Linked DNA regions of Caenorhabditis elegans. The protein of the gene in region 3 purifies or fractionates together with the protein of the main gene of each other region. This does not show direct contact. Each region holds a gene or a part of one and is shown on either strand. Other genes may lie near its edges.

The links.
Region 1: the proteins of F13C5.2 (region 3) and C02F12.8 fractionate together in Caenorhabditis elegans (co-fractionation; one large-scale study listed by BioGRID). This does not show direct contact.
Region 2: the proteins of F13C5.2 (region 3) and Y54F10BM.3 fractionate together in Caenorhabditis elegans (co-fractionation; one large-scale study listed by BioGRID). This does not show direct contact.

What each region holds. Positions count from the first base shown.
Region 1 is NC_003284.9:3,689,506-3,695,101, forward strand, and holds C02F12.8 (uncharacterized protein), read right to left. Parts: upstream 3,734-5,596; 5' UTR 3,729-3,733; coding exon 3,627-3,728; intron 3,574-3,626; coding exon 3,322-3,573; intron 3,000-3,321; coding exon 2,490-2,999; intron 2,172-2,489; coding exon 1,702-2,171; intron 1,654-1,701; coding exon 1,346-1,653; intron 1,301-1,345; coding exon 1,041-1,300; intron 987-1,040; coding exon 825-986; 3' UTR 638-824; downstream 1-637.
Region 2 is NC_003281.10:2,280,440-2,285,122, forward strand, and holds the start of Y54F10BM.3 (Tyrosine-protein phosphatase domain-containing protein), read left to right. Parts: upstream 1-1,585; 5' UTR 1,586-1,646; coding exon 1,647-1,719; intron 1,720-2,655; coding exon 2,656-2,707; intron 2,708-2,759; coding exon 2,760-2,834; intron 2,835-3,357; coding exon 3,358-3,652; intron 3,653-3,791; coding exon 3,792-3,945; intron 3,946-4,683. Other genes in the region: Y54F10BM.22 (Neuropeptide-Like Protein), read left to right, coding at 482-645, 1,147-1,282.
Region 3 is NC_003284.9:592,184-596,802, forward strand, and holds F13C5.2 (Bromo domain-containing protein), read left to right. Parts: upstream 1-1,776; 5' UTR 1,777-1,796; coding exon 1,797-1,871; intron 1,872-1,962; coding exon 1,963-2,292; intron 2,293-2,533; coding exon 2,534-2,695; intron 2,696-2,745; coding exon 2,746-3,115; intron 3,116-3,416; coding exon 3,417-3,604; 3' UTR 3,605-4,117; downstream 4,118-4,619. Other genes in the region: F13C5.3 (Peptidase_M13 domain-containing protein), read right to left, coding at 4,131-4,278, 4,522-4,619.

The DNA.
Region 1 (5,596 bases), 3.1 Mb from region 3:
ACCGGCGGTGGATATACGAATGGACGTTGTGCCACTCACCCGGGAGGGGGAGAAACATCGAGACTGCTATATCAGATAATGAGTACGCACACAGCAGTGCACATAGGATACGTTGACAAGACCCGATGAATGTGATGACGGTGAGCATAACGCTGCCGAAATGTGTACGGATTGATTGAAAAATAGATTAAGGGGGCTATCAATTTAGATTTATTGCTTTAATTTTTCAATTTGTTGTAAGCCATAAGGAAAAAATGAGCAAAAGTTGTATCCTCTTCGATAGCGTTTTTTTTTTTCAAAAGATTTCGTCAGCCTAATTTCAAAACATACAGATTGGATAAAATGTTTCAATTTCAAAAATATTTCGTAGACAAAAATAGCTATATTTAACTTCTTCATCTAGTTTCACTTAAGCACGATCTCTTTTGATTTTTTGATTTTGATTTTGATTTTGGGAATTAAATGTTTGAGGTAATAATAAATAATCAACAAAATAATAATGTCCGTCTGTCCAGTTTGCCTAATTTGTTTGTGAAGTCAAAAACGCGTCTCTTGAGTTATTCAACCCTTTCTAAACTTGAATTTAAAATTGGTAGAAGTTTGAAACTGGTTAGAGCCTCTGAAAAGATGAAGAAATACAAGACTAGACATTTTTATTCTAAAAATCTCAATACATAAATTGATTTACCCATAAAGTCAATAAATTAAAATTGAAGACAATGACACGTAATTAAATGGACTGAAAAATACAACTGAATGGTCATGGTTAATCACAGTTAAAACATCTGATCACTGGGTACAATGTGTACAAACAATAACGGAATCTAGAAAAGGTTGAAGAAAATTTCTTCGTAATACTCTAATTTGTCAGTAGAATCGCTGGTGAGACCGGCCAAAAAGCATAGTTCCGGAAGAATAGCTGGCGGCAAGTTCAGCTGAAGTTGCTCGTAGATTGTAATACGCGAGAGACTTTGCGGACGTTGAACCTGTAAATAGTCAGTTTGAGACACTTAAAAGTACCAAAATTCATTAAAACTCACCATTTTGAATGCCAAAATGCGTTTTTCAATAAACTGTAACACTTTGTTCATTTCATTCGAATTTTCTTCCCAAGTTTTCACAAAAGTATCCACCGTTTCATAGAATTTTTGATATGAGAAATTTTCGTGAAAAATTGGACGACCCGATTCTGAAATCTTCTTTGCTCTGTTAGCAATTGCCATTTGAACTGCATGCAGGATTTGGGGACTGATCAACGATGGCGGTGGATTCGAGACGGGTCTTTTTCCTCGCTTCTTTTCTGAAATTGAAAATATTAGTACCAAATGGCGATGATGAATCTCACTTTGGTCTTTCTGTCCTGAGCTTGAGTAGTCACCACCAGCTTGCTCCACATGCTTCTGTCTTTCTCGATATGCTGCTTCCAGTACATCGTCATCAGTTTCCAATTGATTTGCCTTCTGTGCAGCCATAAGGCGCTTTTCTTTTTTTGTCAACTTTTTCCTGGCGTCGGGTAGAGCAATAGTTGATGCTTCTTTGCTATCCTCGTCAATGGTGGAAGCGGCCAAAGTCTGCTGACATTTTTGCAATGGTTTTTCGACTTTTGACAATGGCAGCGGGTAGACGAGTTTTTGTGTTTTCTGTGGTACAAAACTGAAAATTACAGAATTTATCATTTTAGCAGTAATATCAAAAAATCACCATTTCTTCCTGCCCGTCGCCTCCTGCCATGATTCCAAAACGTCATCCGACGTATCCAGATACTTAATGATTTCAGATATTGACGTATCCCTGTCATCATCAACAATCAACGAGTCAGTCGTCATTTCAGATACAGGTTCAGATTTGATTTCAACTACGCTCATGTTATCCGAGTGTTCCAAAGTTTCCGGCTCAATCAGTGTTTTCGAAAGATCAAGGTTCTCCATTATATCATCAACATCATCTAATGGTGGCATTTCAGACATTGTACTGCTATAAGGTTCTGGCTCATTTGCAACACTTTCCGTGTCTACTGAATCCAAGTCGCAATCTTGCTGACCAACAGGCGTCAACGTTCCATAATCTTCGTCTTCCGATTCTTCCCTGACACTATCAGTCATGGGTGATAACGAACCATTTCCAACACTAGATCCATTGATGGGCGGTCTGCTGGACATAGATATGTCGCTCTGAAAAAACCATTTTGTAATATAGCATTATAAATTAGTCAAGTGCTGCGTGAGTGTGTTCAAGTTTAAACATTTGATCATTATCACTTTCAGGAACATTTAATGATAGTTGTCATAAATTTAGGAGTGTGTCTGATATTCATGGTCAGACAAGAAGCGGGTTACTAAAATGGTTTTAGATGCAAACCAGTTAATCTCCCAACTTTTAAATTTTTCATATAACTTCCCTAAAAGCGGTCATGTTCAAATTTTCAAATTCTGGCATACCCAAGCAGCAGTTAAGTTGTTTTTGTTGTAGTCGATAATATTGTTTATTACCTGTCCGGAAGAAAACGATTGTGATGAGCATACTGATGATCCCGATTGTGACATGGAAACGACGCATACAGGTGCGCTGACAACTCGACAATATGCAACTCCATTGTTATCATAAATAATGTCTGGGAATCCTTCGTTGGCAGGTGGACCAGAATATTGACTGTAAGACGGTGATGGAAAGATGGGAGACGAGAATCCATATCCAGAAGGTGGCTTTGAAGTATCAATTTGAGGTGGTGACATTGAATACGATCCTTGCGAAACCATTACAGCTCCGACTGGCATCATGGTTGGTGGAGCTGGCACAAATTGGGGAGGATTGTAATTCTGGGAACCAACAGGCACGTGTGGATGCATAGGCTGGTTTACAATCTGTGGGTGTGCAAATCCTGAATTCGACGCTGCCAAATCCATAGTGTATGGAGGAACAGGTTGCGGAAAGACGTTTGGATTTGATGCAAACTGTGCCGGAGGTGGCATGTAATTACCATGTTGAGCAAATGGGTGTACCTGAAAATTGCAATTGTTTCAAAGTTTTAAAGAAATTCTTATGGCCTTGGGGTTTTTAAACAGTGAAAAACTACATTTCTAAAAATTAAAACTTGTTTACTCCTCTCGATTGAAAAAAAAACCGATTTTTTCCATTAAATCAACGAGTTTCTAAAATCATTAAAAGTTTAATTGTCAGCTTTTAGTTTCGCCGTTCGCTTAATTTTTATTGCAATCTAGTATTCCCATTTCAAAAAATTATCAACGAAATAAGCTTTCAAATTGCCTGAGATTGGAAATTCTCAATATCTCATGAACAAACTTTTCAAATTGAAAAACAAACCTTAAATGAAGCATCCAACGTGCTCACCAAATTGTTCTGATATCCGCAATTTTGATAAGGATTTGGGCACTGATTATTTTGGACGGGAGCGGCGAACTGTTGCTGCATGAGATCATCAACGTCTTTTGAGTTCAACAGAACCTCATTCTCAAAATTCCACAGCGCAATAGGATCATTTGATTCAAAAGCTCTTTGAACGATTTCCCCGTAACTTGGATCCAGACGATGAAGATTATTGTAGGAAAAGAGAATCTGTAAAAAATTATTATATATAAGAATATACAAACGCTCTAAACATTATGTACCTTCTCCAATTGATTTCTTCTTTGAACACTATTCCTGAGAAAGTCCTCATGTACTTCACTCGAGTGTCCTTCGGTTTTCCAGCGAGATCTATCGTTTTGCATAGCTTCTGAACAAAGTTAACATGAAAATTTGTCAGAGTTTAAAACAACTGATAGGTGCAATATTGAGAGCCTGTTAATAATTGAAAATTTAAATTGTAGGAAAAACCGAATAAAAAAAACATATAATTTAGTGCTTACAACATTCAGTTTTACTATTTATTTTATGAGTAAAATTATAACGAATAGAAGCTGGCGGTGTCACATTTCAAAACTAGATCAAAAGATTTGCTGAATTAAAATAAAAAAGAGAAATGTTATAGCTATTTGTTTGTTTTTAACCTACTCTTGTTACCGCAAAAAAACATTGTGAGCATTTTACACAAAATTATATAATTTTTGAATTTCCTTTGCTAGTAATTGTTGGGAAAAATCAAAACAAATTCTTGAAGCTAGATTGCATTCCAAGTAACATGGTTAGTTCAAAACATAGAATTTTATGAGAAATTCAAACTTTGAAAGAATCATGCATCGCGTTGGGGCTCTCGAAAAATAATGTCTAGGTATCTAGATAGCTAGATTCATATCATAGCTATAGATTTAATTTTTGCTTGTAACTACAATTGTGGAAAAATGGGAATATAAGAGTACCATTGAAAAAAATAGCACAATGTATAAATTGCACGGTTGGCATGCAAAATTTTGGTTGGAAATTCAATGAGTAGAGCTAAAAAAGTTTTAGTTTTGCCCAAGGATAAAAAAAAGGAAACCTGACTCAATTTCTGTCAGTGGAATTTCTAATTTGGTTAGTGCATTCTGATTTGGTCAGTGCAATTACTAATTTGGTCAGTGCTTTTCGACTTTGGTCAGTGCTTTTCTATTTTGGTCAGTGCTTTTCTATTTTGGTCAGTGCTTTTCTATTTTGGTCAGTGCATAATTTTAATTTCTAACCTATTATCTGATTGAAAAAAAATTAGGAGGAACGAAGTTGAAAACTGAGGTGAACAAATGAAAGTGAAAAGACGCGCACGCAGGTGGTGGTGCTTAGTGTTTATCGTCACCCACAACAATAACTGGGTGGGTAATATGGTGAGGAAGAGGACTCGTTGGACAGGGCAAAGGGCCCCTCGGCGGATGCCACGCACGCAGCACACAAAACCCCCCTACATTCGTTCGCGCGCACACTCATAGAACACTCACACACACGCACACACACGCTCACATATAGCCAACTGCACCCCCACGTCAACAAAACACAAACACACAAACACGCACACACATGCGCTCACACGACGACACGGCATCCAGAGGCACTAGCGCAGTTAATTTTTGACGCTCTAGACTAACAATGGGACTCTTTTAACTCAATGAACATATGACAAATGTTCACGGATTCTCGTGTGATTGCGCACGAAACAGAGCGTTACGGTGGGCGCAAGGCCGTTACGGAAAATGGTAATGACGGTCATAGGTCCAATTATTATACATATGTGATAGTAAAATGTAAACAAAAACTAGCATGTTCGCAGTAAGTTTCAGAATGTAGAGAAGAAAACAGAAATCTATGTGGAAATATAATCTAGCAATCATCCTGGAACTTATCAAATGCTTTCAATGTACGACAGGTGCTAAAAAATGTAAAAATGTAGCAGAAATTTCACAGAAAAGGTAAACTAAAATCATAAAAGAACTCGCACCCCCAATTTCGCAAGAATAATTGTAAAAAAAAACAGAAGGGAGGTCATGGATATTTTTAGTGCAGCGCGAGTAGATCAAAAAATTTTAATAAAAATTGCATCACAATTTTAATATTTATAATTGCTTTAAATGATAGAAAATGGGCTGTAAGGACAGATTACGACTGTAAAAAAATTATAAACTTTTTCTAAATTTTTTATGATTTCGGCCGAATTAAATTTAAATTTCTGCGC
Region 2 (4,683 bases), on a different chromosome or scaffold from region 3:
ACATAGGAATTTACAAGAACCCGTAAAACTACAGTACCCCATAACTTTCCGTGTAGAGACCCAAAAAATTTTTGTTTTTTTTTTTGAAAAATTGGAAAAAAATTTTCAAAATTTTTTTTTTCAAACTTAAATTAATTTTACTGATTTTGTTGAAGTTTTTCGCTATATTAAAATTGATTTTAAAAAATCTGCACCCATTGCTTAGGTGCAAAATGTATCCCTCTACCCCTTTTCAGGTACACTAAGAATTCAGCGAATTCAGATTTGCCAAACATCAAAACAATGGAATTTTTCATTGTTTCTCACGTGTAGCAACTGATAAAAACTGATAAAAGATATCAAAATTGATCCTATGACGTCATCATGTCTTATGACGAATTCCACCCCCCGCTGACTGTGAGAAAAGTATTTAAAAACTTGATTTTTCAAGTTTTTCCCTAAAAACTTTTTACACTTTCTCTATGTAAAAGTTCAAAAAAACATGCGAAAAACTACAGTAACCTTATTATTTTTGATATTTTTTATTCAAATTTCTGAAATTCTGACTCTACCTATCAATTATGGTGCATCGTTGAACTCTGTACACTCGGATGACCTGAGTGCTGAGGATTATCAAGTTTTGAGGAAAAATGAGACAAAAATTGAGTAAGTTCATTGATTTTTTGCTAATAGAAAGGTTTTTGAAATTTTGGAAAAATTAAAAAAAAAATTTTTTTGAAAAAAACTTGTTTAAAAATAATAATTCCGCCAAATTATCGATTTTTTTGGTCGAAATCTCAAGTTTTAAATGTTTTCTTTAATTTTATTGAATTCAGCGTCATTGATTACCCCTATCCCAAAATTTTGGGCCTTCTAGCTCAATTTTCAAGAATTGGCTGAGTAGCGACCCATTGCGATACGGAGTTTGGTCAGTTTTAGTGCAAATGGCTAAAAATTTAGGATTCTGGGTTTCCAAGTATGGCAAATTTAATGATAATGTTAGTTTTTCAAAACTATGACTCCGTATCGCAGTTCTGAGTCGCTACTCAGCCAAATTTCAAAATTTTGAGATTTTGAGCTAGAGCTCTGAAAACCTATAGATAAGGGTAATCAATCACGCTGAATCCAAAAATAACTTCTAAAACCAAAAATTTTAATTTTTTCCAGAAGAATCCACAGAATTCAGCAATTTTTCAAAGCGGAGCACCACGAATCCACGTGGCGAGACTCGATTTGCAGTGCATTCCACTCGTTTTCACTGTTCCCGCCAAACTGCTTTGCGGCTCCGCCAAACGACAAATAAATCGATATTATTGATTTATGAAATGACATGATTTTTTTCTACGACGCACAATAAATTTTTGTGATTTTCTGATTTTTTTTGATTTTTTTTTGGGTCTCGTCACGAAAAGTTGTGGGGTACTGTAGTTTTTACCGGAATTTCTAAAATTTTTATTTTATCTTTTACGTGGGTAGTTTTCGCACATTTTAAGCCAAAAATGAACAAAATATCTCAAAAACTAAAAAAGTTACAAAATTTTTAAAAAATTGAATAAAAACGTAAAAACTCAAAAATTGCCAAAAAACATTCCACGTCGGGAACCACGTCGTTTGATTTTCGAAAGTCGATAAATCGATATTGAAAAATTTATTTCACAATATTCAAGATGAAATTGTGGTCGATTTTATTGGTGACCATATCGATTTTTGGCATCTGCCACGTGGAACCATATGAGCTAAGTAAGTACGGGGGTTTGACGCCAAGATACGGTTCGATTCTACAAAATTATCGGATTTTTCGGGAAATTATCGATTTTCTTGAGAAATTATCGATTTTCTGGCGGAAATATCGATTTTCTTGCTAAATTATCGATTTTCTTGCGAAATTATCGATTTTTTCGCGAAATTATCGATTTTTTCGGGAAATATTGATTTTCGGGAAATTATCGATTTTCTGGCGAAATTACCGATTTTTCGCGAAATATTGATTTTTTCGCGAAATATTGATTTTCGGGAAATTATCGATTTTTTCGCGAAATTATCGATTTTTCGCGGAATTATTGATTTTCTGGCGAAATTATCGATTTTCTTGCGAAAATATCGATTTTCTTGCGAAATTATCGATTTTTGGCGAAATTATTGATTTTCTTGCCAAATTATCGATTTTTCGCGAAATTATTGATTTTCTTGCGAAATTATCGATTTTCTCACGTGTCGAAAAGTTGCCCTTATTTTTTATTTCTGTCAAGAATGCAATTTCAGGATTTAATATAGGAAGAGGCAGATTTTCTTGCGAAATTATCGATTTTTTCGCGAAATTATCGATTTTTTTCCCGAAATTATTGATTTTCCAGGAAATTATCGATTTTTAAAAAATTATCGATTTTTAAAAAATTATCGATTTTTAAAAAATTATCGATTTTTAAAAAATTATCGATTTTTTGCGTAATTACTGATTTTCGATAAATTATCGATTTTTTCGCGAAATTATCGATTTTTGATATTTTCGATGAACACGTGGAGTTTGTTATTTATTTCTTTTTGAAAATGACGTGGAGAGGACGGTAAAAAAAAGCCACGTGGCCATTGCGATTGCGAAATTATCGATTTTTGATAATTTATCGATTATTCGCGAAATTATCGATTTTTCAACAAAAATTTATTGATTTTTTCCAGGTTTCGTCGATTGGCCTACACCCGCCCCGCCGACCTCAACAACTCCACCAGTGTAAGTCTATCCGTTGTCCCGTTAGTTTATCCCGATGACCGCTCTTTTTCAGATCCTCAACCAAACCACCACCTGCTGAACAGTTTAATTCGCTGACCGACATTCTCGACCTAATTCCAATCGAAGTGTAAGTTGTGAAAATTTGACATCGATAATTGCTCGGCGGCGAAAAATTGGTTTTTTTTTTTCGAAAAATCGATAATCTATGTTGATTTTATTGATTTTTTTGGTCGGATTTTTGAAGAAAAATCAATAATTTTTATTGATTTTTTGTTCAAAAAATCGATAACTTGCGTCATTTCTTTTATCGAAAATCAGTAATTTCGCAAAAAAATCGATAATTTCGCAAGAAAATCAATAATTTCGCAAGAAAATCGATAATTTCGCGAAAAAATCGATAATTTCGCAAGAAAATCGATAATTTCGCAAGAAAATCGATAATTTCGCAAGAAAATCGATAATTTTGCAAGAAAATCGATAATTTTGCAAGAAAATCGATAATTTCGCGAAAAAAATCGATAATTTCGCGAAATTATCGATTTTCTTGCGAAAAAATCAATAATTTCACGAAAAAGTCGATAATTTCGCGAAAAAAATCGATAATTTCGAAAGAAAATCGATAATTTCGCAAATTTTCTGTAATTTTTCAGCTGGCTTGTTGTACTTTTCCTGGAATCTGCGTTTGTTGGAGCATTTGGAGCATATTGCTACTGGAAAGTTCAACAATGGCGCGACGAGAAAATGGCAAGGGAAAAGGCTTGGGAAAGGCGTCTGGCACGAGTTTCTGAAGTTTCGGCTTCGAAAAATCGAAACGCTGGAGGTGTGGATCCTGCAAAAAGACCGAGAGAATCAGCCAAATGGCTGAAACATGTAAAGGAGGTGACGCTGAAACGGGGTGGAGTCGAGCTGCTGCCGATGGAGGATGTGATCGTGAAAAATAAAGAGGTAGAGATTTTTCCGAAAAAATTTGAAAATTTACGTGTCAAAAATCAAGGAAAAATCTTGAAAATGAACAAAGTTATGGGTTTTCGAAAAAAAAATTTTTTTTTGAAAATTTTTTTTGTAAAAAAATTTGTTTTTTCAGAAATTCAAAAAGCCACAAAATGAGCTTCGAGAAAATGAAGTGTGGGTGGAAAGACAAACGGGCCCTGATATTGATAAAGATTCGGACCCAAAGACGGAAAATGCATTGGATGAGCAGGATTATCAGCTGGAAGATGGATGGCACGGCAAGTCAGGTATGGTTTTAAAATCAGGTTTTAAGAAATTTTACTTTAAACATTGCAAGTTATTAAATTAAACATTAAACTCACAAAAAGATTGCGCTCATTTTAAGACTATATTCAATCGAATATCTTTAAAATTCGCAGAGTTATGTAGTTTTGAAAATAAAATTTGAAAATTTGAAATTTTTTTTTAAATTTTTATTTTCTTGAAAGCTCGAGCTAACTTTCAATTCAAAACCGATTTGGCGTGAATTTTCAGATTTAGCACGCCTAGAGCTTTCAAATAACACCCATCATGACTAGGTTTCGCCTGTTTTGGGTCCCCAAGTTTTCAAAGTGGACGGAGCTTAGTCAATATGGGTGTTAAATGGAAAGTCTTGACACGCTGAATTAAAAAATGAGCAAAAAATTGTAAAAATTTTTTATGTTTTCCAAAAATCTCAAAAAAAAATTTTTTTTTTTTTAATTTTTTTCTAAATTTTTAGACTTTTTTTGCACCAACTGAGAAATAATTAACAAATTCAAAATAATCACATTGAGACCTTTAAAATAAAACCCATCATGACTAGGTTCCGCACATTTTGGGTCCCGCCACGAAAATGCCGCCGGGAGTACTCTGGTTTTCGTGGTGGGACCCAAGAATTTGCAATTTTTAATCTGAAACGTTCAAATCGGTTTCGTAGAAAATTTTAAAAGTTTTTGAAACAAAAATTTTGAAAAAAAATTTTTTTTTCGAAATTAATTTTTTTT
Region 3 (4,619 bases):
ACACAAAATGTTTTGCAAGTTACTTTTTTCAAAATCTCAAACTAAATAACTTTATAATTGACATACCTAAAAGATAAATAACTAACCATATTATTTCTTAATAGTTTTAAATTTCGTTTTTTGTGCAGTCAGTATCCATGTATACAAAAATTTTTTTCGGCAACAAACCGTACACTAAAAATTGTTCACTGCACCAGTGCAAATTCACGGTACCGATTAAACGGGTGTAGCACCTGTATCAGTGAACTAGTAGATAGAAAGTTTTTGTAGGTCATGATTAAAATGTATATTTTTAGTGGTTTTGGTGTCAGGACTCACAATACCGATTAGAAAAACGTTTAAGAAGTATAATTTTTCAAAAGTTGAAATCAAAAGAAAACCGACCATATGCCGGTTCACATGAAACTAGGGAAGTTTGAAAACTCAAAATTCTTTCTCAGAAATTTTGTGATATGTTTTTTGATTTATCCGTCTGATAAGTCAATAATTAAAATCCAATTTCCTGATTCTTCGGCTTAAAACTCACACAACAGTTATATACTTAGATAATGTACTTATCCAATATCACTCAAAAATGTATTAAAATTTAATCTTGCTTATTAAAACCCAAAATATTCCCAAAATATCTAGCGAGTATAGTGGTGTCACCCGGTCAGATACGCAAAACCCACCTTCAATTATACTCTGCCGGACAAAATTTCGTTTAGTATAGATGTACGAGACGCGTAATTCTCAATTTTGGATATTCAGTAGCGTAATTTTTTGCTAGTAAAATTGCAAAATCTTTGTTGGGGAAAAACTGAGTATGTCTATAATTGCTCGACTATCATAAATATTAGTTACAAATTCAAAAAGACAACTGAAAATTCTCACAAAAAAAGTTTATTGTTTCCTATTATCTTGATTTGTTGTTTTTCATTCTGCCATTTCCTTCGTTTTCATAACCCTATCCATCTTATTCTTTTTTATTAGCCCCGGAGCCCCGTTCTCACATTGACATTCCATTGCCTGGAAATCCATCCAAACTAACATATTTTGCAGGTGCGCACACACTAATTACCTTCTAAGTCCAAAACGCGCGAGAGCGGCTGGGGGATCTATCTCCAGTTGTTATCTAGTGAGAATGGGTAAATAGCCAAAACGAGAGCGGGAAGAAAAGGAGAAGAGAAATAGAGAGACACAACAACGTCACAGAGAGCGAGAGACCCTAGAGTGAGAAGAAACAACCCCTCCTCATCTACGCTCACACATCCATACTCCTTCTCTGTTCTTCGCCCAGCTGCCCTGCCTTCAATGTAACCCAGCATCTTGCCCTTCTCCGACCACTCTTTTATGCCACCAGTGTCTCTCACCTTCACAACTCTCGTTTCTCTGCTTCTGGCGGACTGGGCACATCGGCAACGACATCGGCCCCCGAGCACAGAGCTACTCGCATAGAGACAACAACCACATGGGCAGCGTTCTGTCGTTTCTCTGTACTCTCTTGACTTGATGTACTCTTGAAAACCAGTGGTCTCTCTGTTCTCTCAGCGGTGGCCAGTGTGTAGTAGTGGTGGGCCTTTAGTATTCATTCACAGTTTGTGTTGCTCTTCTTTTTTTCGCGTTTGTTTATACCAACAATACCTCTTTCAGTTTATTGTTCGCTTTTTCAAATTTGAAATTATTGAACCCTAGTAACCATTAAACAATTTCTATTATCCTCTATGACAAAAAACGACGTATTTTCTTGATTTGGTCAATTTATCGATTAGAAAAATGATACATTTGTTGTTTCAGGCAAATTTCACTACCGGAAAATGCCAACTACTCGAAGTGCAAATCATCCAGCTCCAAAAAGAGCGATCTCACCGGATAGTGATGACGGAGAAGAGGTGTGTTTAGCAAATCAACATATTAAAACCAATGTGTAAAAAAATAATTTATCAAATATAATTACTCAGAACTATAAAAACAACATTACAGGACGATTTCAAATCAAAAAGGACCCCATCTGGTCGTGGACGTGGTGGCCGCGGACGAGGACGCGGCCGTGGCCGCGGAGGAGCCACCGCCGCTGGGGCAACCGTTGAAGGTGGTGAAAGCACCCGAGGAGGAGGAACTGGCCGTGGTGGGAGAGGACGTCCACGTGGATCCAAGAATTCAGACGGCGGAGCAGGAGGTCCGCCAGCCAAGCGTGGAAGAAAGAAGAAGGCAAAGTCGGAGTCTGAAGATGAGGCTGAGTCGGACCATCTTCATGACGAGCTGAAGAAGTGTCTGTCGATTTTGAAAGAGTTTGAGAAAAGCACACATGATGTAAGTTTTTTTTTTGGTGAAAGAGCTTCTATATTAAAAAAAACTATGGTCAGAAATTAACCTTTCTGTTTCTGTCACAAAATTTTAAAACCACTTAATATTAATCTAGATTATTTTCAATTTATTATACGACGCACAATTTTTAATCAATCTTGGAAACTATATCAAATGAAATAATTTATGTTAAAATTGAAAGTTGAAACTGAAGCAGAACAATCTAGAATTACACAATGTGTTTCAGTCCTTCACATTTCCATTCCGTAAGCCAGTTGACGTTGTCCTACTTGGCCTCACCGACTATCACGAGGTCATCAAGAAGCCAATGGACATGTCAACCATCAGAAAGAAGTTGATCGGCGAGGAGTACGACACTGCAGTTGAGTTCAAGGAAGACTTCAAATTAGTTAGTTTTAAGATTTGTTAAAAGTTGATATTAATTTTTATTAACTGCAGATGATCAACAATTGTCTCACTTACAACAATGAAGGGGATCCAGTAGCTGATTTTGCTCTTCAATTCCGCAAAAAATTTGCTGCCAAATGGAAGAAGGAATTCCCAGAGGACGGAGACAGTTTTGGACAGGAGAAAGGTGAAAAAGAAGGAAGTGACAATGAAGATGACGAGGAAGAGGTTGATGAAAAAGAAAAGGAAGAAGAAGTAAAAGAAGACAATGCAGAAGAGAAACCTGCTGAAGAACCTGAGCAGCCAGATGAGAAGGAAGAAGAGGATCATGAAGATGAACGAGAAGAACAGGAGGAGGAAGATTCCAGTGATGAAGAGGATGGTCTTGACGATGATGACGTCAGGCGTCACATACCAGCATGTAAGTTTCAGAAGAAAATCTATTATAACAAATTATGACCTGAAGAAACAGTATAGCGCTTAAGAGAATAAGAATAAGCAGAAATTCGTGATAGTGATGATTAAACAGTGTGCGCAGGTGCCCGATGTAGCTGGAAGATTTTGGACGTCGGAGACATCCACCGTCGTACTAGATTTTACAAAAACCTTTTTGAATATAAATCACACACCTCCGCCACTATATACCGCATAGACACTTGCGCTGAATTGGTTTTTTTTTAAAGTTAAACATCAACCCATGTAAACCAACATTTCATTTGCAGCAACATCAGCTCCAGTCGCCAAGCATCCAGAAGCCGCGATGCCAGAGCCAGCTGCCGAGCATTCCTCAATTCAGTCATCCGAAGCTCAAGCTCTGGGAGAAATTTCAGGAGCACACCCGATACACATCGGCGAGTCGGAGATTGCCGGACATGCCGCAGACTCCACTACGGGAGAGAGTCATGCCTAGGCACAAATTCAACTTCAGAAATGCTGTTGGGAATACAGTATACTGATAAAAACGAATTCAAAACAGTAATCATCTTTTATTTCACACTAAAACCATGTCAACTGATTCCCAGCCGCTTTTTGTAAACAATTTTCAACTTGGACCAATGTATGCATCTCTTAAATACCCACCCACTCATTTAGAGATTATTCCTAAAGTATTCCAATTTGTCATGCAGTTCCTTCAGTTGTAAGAAACATTATCCCGATACTTCTTTTTGTATTATGAATCTCAATCGACCCTTATGAATTTATTTGACAATTAATGCTTTTTCAGCGTTTCCCTTTCCACCCTATTCCTCATTTTATACCTCAATTTGGTCCACCAAACTTTTCCAATCGGAAATCATTCCCCCACTCACAAAATAAATGAGCACAAATCAGCAATATAGTACTATATAAAAATTTATCTCCAATCTGTATTTTGAATCAAATGTTCAAAAAAATAAATTACATCAAAATAAATATTTTTTTTCAATTCTTGTTAATCAGTCAATTGGTGGCTTCAATGTCATGAAAAATTGATCAAATGGGAAAAGTTCCTGATTGTGCACATGAATGGCTAATGTAAATTGTTGATCCAACAATGATGACCAGAGATTTTTTGCTTTAGTGTCCAGGTTTTGCTTGACATCGCTGAAAATAATTTAGAATATTAATTAAAGGAATGAGCGGATGCGTTTTGCAAATCTACGAAAAAATTTGTAATTTTTAAATTTATTCGGAAATTTGCCGGAATTGAAAAGTTTTGGCAAATCGGCAAATCGGCAAACCAGCATGTTGCTGATTTGCCAAATTCGTCGACAAAAAAATTTGCCGTCCACTCCTGGTTATGATATCAATAAAATTTCAAAACCTTTAAATCTTTGACGAGCTTACATAATTTTGGTTGCAGTTTTACGTTTCATTTTTTCAAATGTAAAGTAAGGCTTGGATTTTTGAAAAGCAATGAGTGAGTATCTGGGATGAACTGTGTT